Linked DNA regions of Nothobranchius furzeri. The protein of the gene in region 2 purifies or fractionates together with the protein of the main gene of each other region. This does not show direct contact. Links are inferred from orthologs where the notes say so. Each region holds a gene or a part of one and is shown on either strand. Other genes may lie near its edges.

Region 1 (3,758 bases), on a different chromosome or scaffold from region 2:
AATATAACAAATCTGTAGTTATTAACAGTAGCTTTGAAAGTAACATGGTCAAATACTTTTCAAGTATGTGTAGAAACAAGTTACACGAGTAATCCTGAGTACTCATTTATCAACTTAGAAAATAAATATGAGAACATCTCAAATTTATGAGAATGGAAAAAATGACATTCAAGTGCCCTCTTATCAGCAGATTCAATCATAAATCATCTCAATTTATGGGACCACAAAAGTAATTGGAGTACTGACTCTCCTAAGATCAAAAAGGTGCATCTCAAACCTGTAACATGCCAAATATTTGAGTTCTTGGAATCGATTCTGAATCTTTATAAATAAGAATCCCGATTCAGACTTGAATCGATTTTTTTCAGCACCTCTAGTAATCTTTATCTTACAGTGACACGAGGTACTCCTCAGTCCTTTTTAAACATTGGAGCAACTGCCTATACGGTTTCTAATTAGAATGTGTTTGTATTTTATTTTTATTTTTTTATTCTTGTTATGGACATATCTCTTGTCTGAAATAAAGTTTGATTGATTGATCAGTTGGCGATTCAACACGAAAGACTGTTTTTTATGGTTGTTTGAGAAAAATCAGAATAAACCAGAACCTGTATCAGCAAGTCTAGAGTCAGCCTAACCCTTGAAAGTCCTCATCCGAAGCAAAAATGGTTTTGCTTTGCAGGATGTATTCACATATAAAGGATGGCTTGCCAGGCTAGGTCAGAGCTGTACAAAAACCAGAATCAGTGTAGTCTCACAGAACCAGATCCTTTACCGCTAACGTGTCACGATGAGTGACTACACAGCTGCAGTCTGGATCCTGATCTCCAGTGACGTCGAGCCAAGTGCTACCAGGTGATGGAACAGAGAAGAAAGGTTGTTAGCAGCTTTGTGAAGGCCAGACGCTGGCCCAGAGGAGGTTACGGACGGCACCAGCCCAGTCCGACCTGGCCGCCACCTCAAGCAGACACAAATAGATTAAAGCCGGTTAGAAACACTTGATGATGCACAAACCACAGGACATGCTGGAGGTCTTTACCGAACTCAAGCAGCGACAGCCTAATCTGTTCTGCTAACTAGCAAGTGAAACTGGGCTAACGTTACCAGGACAGGTCTAACTAGACTAGTTAAACTAGCAGGAGACTAAGTTAGGGAACTACTGAAGATTTTAAACAAATCTCATGTGAAACACTAAATCCTTTACTGACTATTTGGTGTTTATTGGTAATCGACTACGAACTTGTCGGTAGCATACTTCCATTCTCCTTGGCACCTAACTAGGAAGGCATAAATCAGAGCCGGTGTTCCGACTATCCGTGCTCCCCGTCGGTGTGCTACTTTGGGGAAATGCGCATGCGCAGGCCGATTATTGCGTCACAGGCTGTTTACAAATAGAGACGCGCTACCTGTGGAAGTTTACGTTTAATCTCGTCACTTATCTAGTTACTTTCAACTCGTCGAAGGTCACAGTACGTATTTCTTTGAGTTGTTTTATTAAATTACTGCTTGCTGTATGTTTACCTGACAGTTAGCTTGTAAATGGCTTCTAAAATATCGTTATTATACTGTAAACAAGACACTTCTCCCATTGTTTACAGTCATTCTGAAAGAGTCCCACATTAATATCCAAAAGTTTTATGTTATACATATAACAATTTATCATAGTTGTATAATAATCTCCAAAATTATACATCCAAACAACTATAAGTATTGGGGGAAGAGCATATTTGTTCTATGTGGATTCATTTGTCTAATAAAGGATTAGATAGAGAAATAGAACGGTTAGAGCTAACGTCTTACAAATCTCCATTTTTATGAATCACTTTCTCGACATGGGTGAAAGTAGTTGGTAAATCGTCATTGTTCTGAGAATATTCAAATGTTTTTAGCAACTAAGGGGTTAATTTTTACGAAATGACTAAACTGCTTCTTACACTATCCACTTTTTTTACAGAATAAATTAACAGTAGCTACCGATTTTCAGTAACCCTGGACATACTGAATCAGCTGTTGAAACACGCTGCGGTAAGAAAATTCGACGAGGAAGCACGGATAGTGAGAACACCGGACTCCCGGAGCTAGTCGGTAAGATGCAACTAACTTACCCTGAAGAAAAAAATAGCTGGTTCATCAAAAAACACAAAGTCACAAAACATGCTGTTAAAACCGGATAAACACGCACTTACAGCAACATAAACAGTTACGGTTTCTGTGTTTTGAGCTTCAGGCCTCCTCCCCTCTGACCGTAACTGAGTAAATGGAACGGATACGCCAGAAAAGCGACACGCCCTCTGTTGGCCTGGCGGGGTATTGCTTTGCAACGCTCCCAGGTGACGGAGAAGTCTGAAGGCCATGCTGAACGCACGTCTCAGTTACTGTGTATGTACGGGGAGAAGAAAGTCTAAAAAGAACTGTATATATATATATATATATATATATATATATATATATATATATATATATATATATATATATATTGGAACTTTTTATTTTTGAATAAGACCCACCTTTTTAGCTTAGCTTTTCACTGATTACTAATTATCTAGTCTGTTTAACTGTATCACTTGTCATATTTGTTTATTTATACAGTATATATATATATATATATATATATATATATATATATATATATATATATATATATATATATATATATATATATATATATATCTTTTACTTAATTTTATTCTTTTATTTACATCATAGTGTTTTTACATGATTATGGTTTTTTACTACCTTTGTAATCACTTTTTATCAATTACTTTCTATCCATATTAGCTTTTTTATTTTACAGTTATACGTTTTAATCCTCCAGTGTTTCCTCTGCGGAGCCCTCTGCCTTGGGGCCGGTGGTCGGTGGTCGGTGGTCGGTGGCGGCAGCCAGGGCGCTCCTCGGGTAGTGCCCGGGCAGTGGTGGGGTCTCCGCCCTCGCTCCCTGGGCATCATGGGCCGGTGCCTTGGCTGCTGCCGTGGATCTGTTGCTGTCGAGGCAGATGGCTCCACTGATGATGTGTCGTCCATTACCTGACCCATCTGAACTCAGCCTACTGTTTACCCTGTTGCTCACGTGTGTGTGTGTGTGTGTGTGTGTGTGTGTGTGTGAGTGTGTGGGTGAGTGTACGTTCACCTTGGAAATTGGTTGCGGGAGGGGAAGTGTAATTGTCAATTGTTTAATACTTGGGGAGGGGGGCTGGGATGGGAATATGGGATCTATGGGGCCATTTTAATCTGTGAAGCACTTTGAGTTGCATTTTTTTGTATGAAAAGTGCTATATAAATAAAGTTGTTTTGATTTGATCAAAGAATTGATGAGTTGGAACAAAATGCTCGAGCCACTTATCACTGGGCTGGAAACCAAGCATCGCAGTTATGCAAGAGCTACAGCAAGAGATCAAGAAGGCGAGGATGCACCACCTGAAGAGCTACACACACTGGAGGAACAGGTTATTTATTTCTTCAGCATCAAGAAGAATAGCTTACACAGGGTGAACGCCTTGAAATAATGATATTTGAGTGATGTCGGGTGAACGCCTTAAAATAATGACATTTGGGTGATGTTGGGGTGAAAAACCCTAAAGTCAGGATATTTGGGTGATGTTGGGAAGAAAACCCCGAAATGATGATATGTGGGTAACTTGAAGGTAAAAAAATAATAAAACTAGAAGCAATCATATCCACGAAATAATAATAATAAAGGTTATTAATGTCAAAAACTTTCTGGTGCATAAAAAAGGACTCTGCCTGCTGAAGCAGCAGCA
Region 2 (3,758 bases):
GCCAGAAGTCACATGATCCATTTATCCCCATTGCTTTTGTTTATTTTAAATAATAATAATTATTCAGTACCATTACATTTCCATTCATTTTAATTAATATTTAGTTCAAACAAGCTGAACAAAGTGTCCCAGTAACATAAACAATGCAATTTAACAATTCCACTTAAATTAGGAACAATTCATCTGCTGCAGCCTGAACGCACTCTTCCTCTGCTCTGCGTAAACCTGAGCTGGTCACCTGCAGCTTGTGCGTACTCAAATGTCTCTACGGAATTCGCTGGAGAGGTTATGAGGTTCTGGGCTTTTGCCTCAGACTTATGGATGTTTAAACGTTGTTCTGGATGAATCTGCACTCCACTAACACACTCGAAGCAGGGGCAGAATAACGAGTGCCACTCGCCCAAAGTTTTAAAATCGGGAAAAATGTCTCCAAATGAAATAACCAGAAGTCTTCCAGACTCTCTGAGAAAGATAGAAGGGTTTCTACTTGACATTGCTCTCTTGTTCACATTGTCAAGTGTGTCGCAGACGCTCTCCGAGCTCCTCTTCCGCGTCAGCAGTTAAAGAGGCGGAGAAAGAGAGAGATGATGCTCAGATGCGCTGATGGACATCTCGTCATGATTGTTACCTCCGCGGTGTTCTCTGTGTGTAACGTGTAAAATATCTGTCATTAACAAACGTCATCATGGGCAAATAAATAAATGAACATATCGCCTCTTGTAAAAAAAAAAAAAACAATCGTAACGACTCAGCCCGTCGCTGACGGTCAATTAATTCGTCCCGTCGCCCAACCCTAATCGGGTGTGTTCCCACCTGATGCTAAGCGGTGCGTTTTGGAAGTGTCCAAGAAGCGTAGTATCACATCGCTCCACTAACTTTACATTGAGTTTTTTTTTCTCATGCACTACACTTCCAGGACGCACCAAGCCCAGCAGTTCAGATTGTAACGGACAGGAAGTCAAATGTAAACTTAAACATCCGTCAACTTTCAAAATAGAACATGTGCAGATTTGCAGTTGCTTAACTAGTAAGTAAGTAAGAAAGTAAGTAAATAAATAAGTAAATAAATAAATGCATATTACATATAAAGTCTCCATAGCTGAGGTACAACACAAAGAAAATAAACGAGGCCCTTTAGTACACATGCTGCTGTCTCTCTGCTTGTCACATGAACTGCCGAAATCATGCTTGATCTTGCAATTCTGTGGCAATTTTGTGACCTTGCAAGACGGGCAGCTTGGAACGCATAAAATAAAAAATCTGAAACACTTCCAGTGGTCAGAGACAAGCTGCTGAGCTCGCGAGGAAAACGTGTCTATTACATTATGTGCTGCTTACACATCTGGTGGAAAGCAGCAAATGGCAGAGTGACGCGAAAATACACTTCTGTCCAACATGTCCAAAAGCTTCACAGCCAGCTGAAACACACCCACTGACTGTAATGGCAAACTACGCTTCACAGATGTTAAGTGAAGATTACAGATCCAGCAGAGAGCCGATGACAGAAGTTTGATAGCAATTACCTCCAGTTGGCGTGCCACTTTCATCTCAATGGGGGTCATTTGATCTTGGTTTTCTGCCATGATTGTTTTCTGTAGGAAATGAAATTGCAAATAATTAGCAAACTCTAAAAATAAATTTCTTACATGTGGGCATGTGTCCCAGTTTTCAGAGGTACCATGGTACGAACGCTGATCATTAAATTTATTAATTTGAAATACTGGGAGACAAATTTAGATGAATTGCAATTTGACCTATTTAAAAAATCCATGTTTTATTTATAACCACTCATTGTTTTCATCACATAAACTGGTATGGTTTGTATAATCATATATCTGGCATGCAAGCCTCTCAATTGTTTCATTAGACATTTAAATGTTTAAAAACTAAATGGTGTAGACTGTTGCCTCTGCGATACATTAACCCCTTAAGGCCTAGGTCTATTTTGAAGACTATTCTTCGAAAAATGGTAAAAATGGTATTTAATGGTAAAAATAGTTTAGATAGCCATGTAGTGCTGGGTTTGCTGATTAATTTGATGGCAATTATTACTATTTCTTCTGTAGTGCGAGGGGTTTTTGGCCCTGTTAAGGAACTAACATCATGGGGTCCCCTAGGGCTTAATACATGTTTATATAAACTATTCCTGATTCAGAAACAGTGAATAAAAGCCACTGCCTACCTATTTCTACAATGAATCTAACGGAATTTACAAATTACCATAAATGTACAGATAATATTCGTTTTAAGAAAACTCCTGGAAGCTAATATAAATCTAATTTATTAATTTGTGTCACGCAGCTGTCTCACATCTAGTTACATTTCAGTTACCATGCGTCAGCTAAACCTGCTAGCTTGTCTCAGGAGTTGCAAACCGGCTACGGTTTATATATTAATTTAGAAGCAGAACCACCCAGAATCATGACCCGTATTGTAATAAACAAACAAAACGTGTTTTGTCACCGTAATGCACATTTTGGGGACACACATTGGGTCTGTAATGTTAACGTCGTCATGTGGTTGCGTTCAAACAGTAGCGTGCTGCTCAAACGTACTGTTAATCTACAACAACGTATTCCAAGTTAAATGAAAAACGCCATAAAACATTGTACTAACTCAAATGTTTTACTTACGTTATCACAGTTGTGATCAAACTGCACTTTCGGAACTTGAAACCGCAAAAGCTTGCCTTTCGTGCTGGCACGTTGTAGGACTGCGTGCTACGGAAACCATCGAGGGCCAAAAAGTGTCGAGGAGGTCGCAGTTTTACGGCAGTTCGATTCGTGCGTCGCAATCTGTGTCGTGCAGCTTGTGCCCAGCAGCTGTCGCTGCAATGCAACATTCCAACACAAATGTAGATTTTCTTCACTTTTTATTTTATTTTATTTTATTTTATTTTATTTTATTCAAAAATTTAAACTTATGTTCGTTTTCAAGCAAGAAAATAAATCTTCACTTGATCACAGAGATTTATGTTTTCTATTAAGATGTTTTTGTCTCACAAATTGTTTTGTAGAAACAACCAGCTTTTTATATTACTCCCCTCTAAAATATTCTTGTAGTTCAAAACAAAAGCTGCAATGATTACTATTTTTACACTCACAAACCATCTTGTGCATCTTCTTGTAAAGCAGCTGTAAATGCTTTGTTGCTGGAAGTTCATTCACATAAACTTATTTTTACAAACTTATTAGAAAAATTTAAGATCCCAAATACTCACATATCAATACATTTGAAGAGTTATAGAAATACAAGTGACTTTAAAAGTATTTTTTGGAAAGCAAACATCCCATTATCAGTGTTGTGATTTATTTTATGTGTTACTGACCAGTGACTTTTCAAATAAAAATGCTTTTAAAAGATTTATGAAACAGTTGTGCTTTATTTCATACTTCTCAAGAGATACCTGAGGATTAAGTGAAACACTGGATAACCATGTTGTTACAAAAAACTTCCACAATGAAAACTTGACATGGTTTGTGCATAAACCTTTGCAAAGTAGTGAATACTGTGAAATTATATATATATATACATACATATATATACAATATATACATATATATATATATATATATATATATATATATATATATATATATATATATATATATATATATATATATATATATATATATATATATATATATATATATATATATATATAAACACCTGTGATAAATGTCACTGGACCCCACGAACACAGACACATCCATGTGATCTGACCGGGCTGGGAAGAGTCCCCACAATCTCCCATGAGT

The links. Proteins that work in one complex are often made in the same cells at the same time.
Region 1: the proteins of ssb (region 2) and ro60 purify together in Homo sapiens (affinity purification with mass spectrometry; 3 studies listed by BioGRID and IntAct, with this or other methods). This does not show direct contact. The link is inferred for Nothobranchius furzeri from reciprocal best matches to the Homo sapiens genes SSB and RO60.

Annotation. Positions count from the first base shown.
Region 1 is NC_091751.1:69,173,812-69,177,569, reverse strand, and holds the start of ro60 (RNA-binding protein RO60), read right to left. Parts: upstream 2,282-3,758; 5' UTR 2,187-2,281; exon of another isoform or gene 2,106-2,186; intron 2,086-2,105; exon of another isoform or gene 1,955-2,085; intron 1,470-1,954; exon of another isoform or gene 1,367-1,469; intron 1,275-1,366; exon of another isoform or gene 1,256-1,274; intron 946-1,255; exon of another isoform or gene 849-945; 5' UTR 776-848; intron 1-775. UniProt on the Homo sapiens protein: RNA-binding protein that binds to misfolded non-coding RNAs, pre-5S rRNA, and several small cytoplasmic RNA molecules known as Y RNAs.
Region 2 is NC_091754.1:20,313,257-20,317,014, reverse strand, and holds the start of ssb (lupus La protein), read right to left. Parts: upstream 2,752-3,758; 5' UTR 2,634-2,751; intron 1,593-2,633; 5' UTR 1,584-1,592; coding exon 1,524-1,583; intron 1-1,523. Other genes in the region: klhl23 (kelch-like protein 23), read right to left, coding at 3,682-3,758. UniProt on the Homo sapiens protein: Binds to the 3' poly(U) terminus of nascent RNA polymerase III transcripts, protecting them from exonuclease digestion and facilitating their folding and maturation.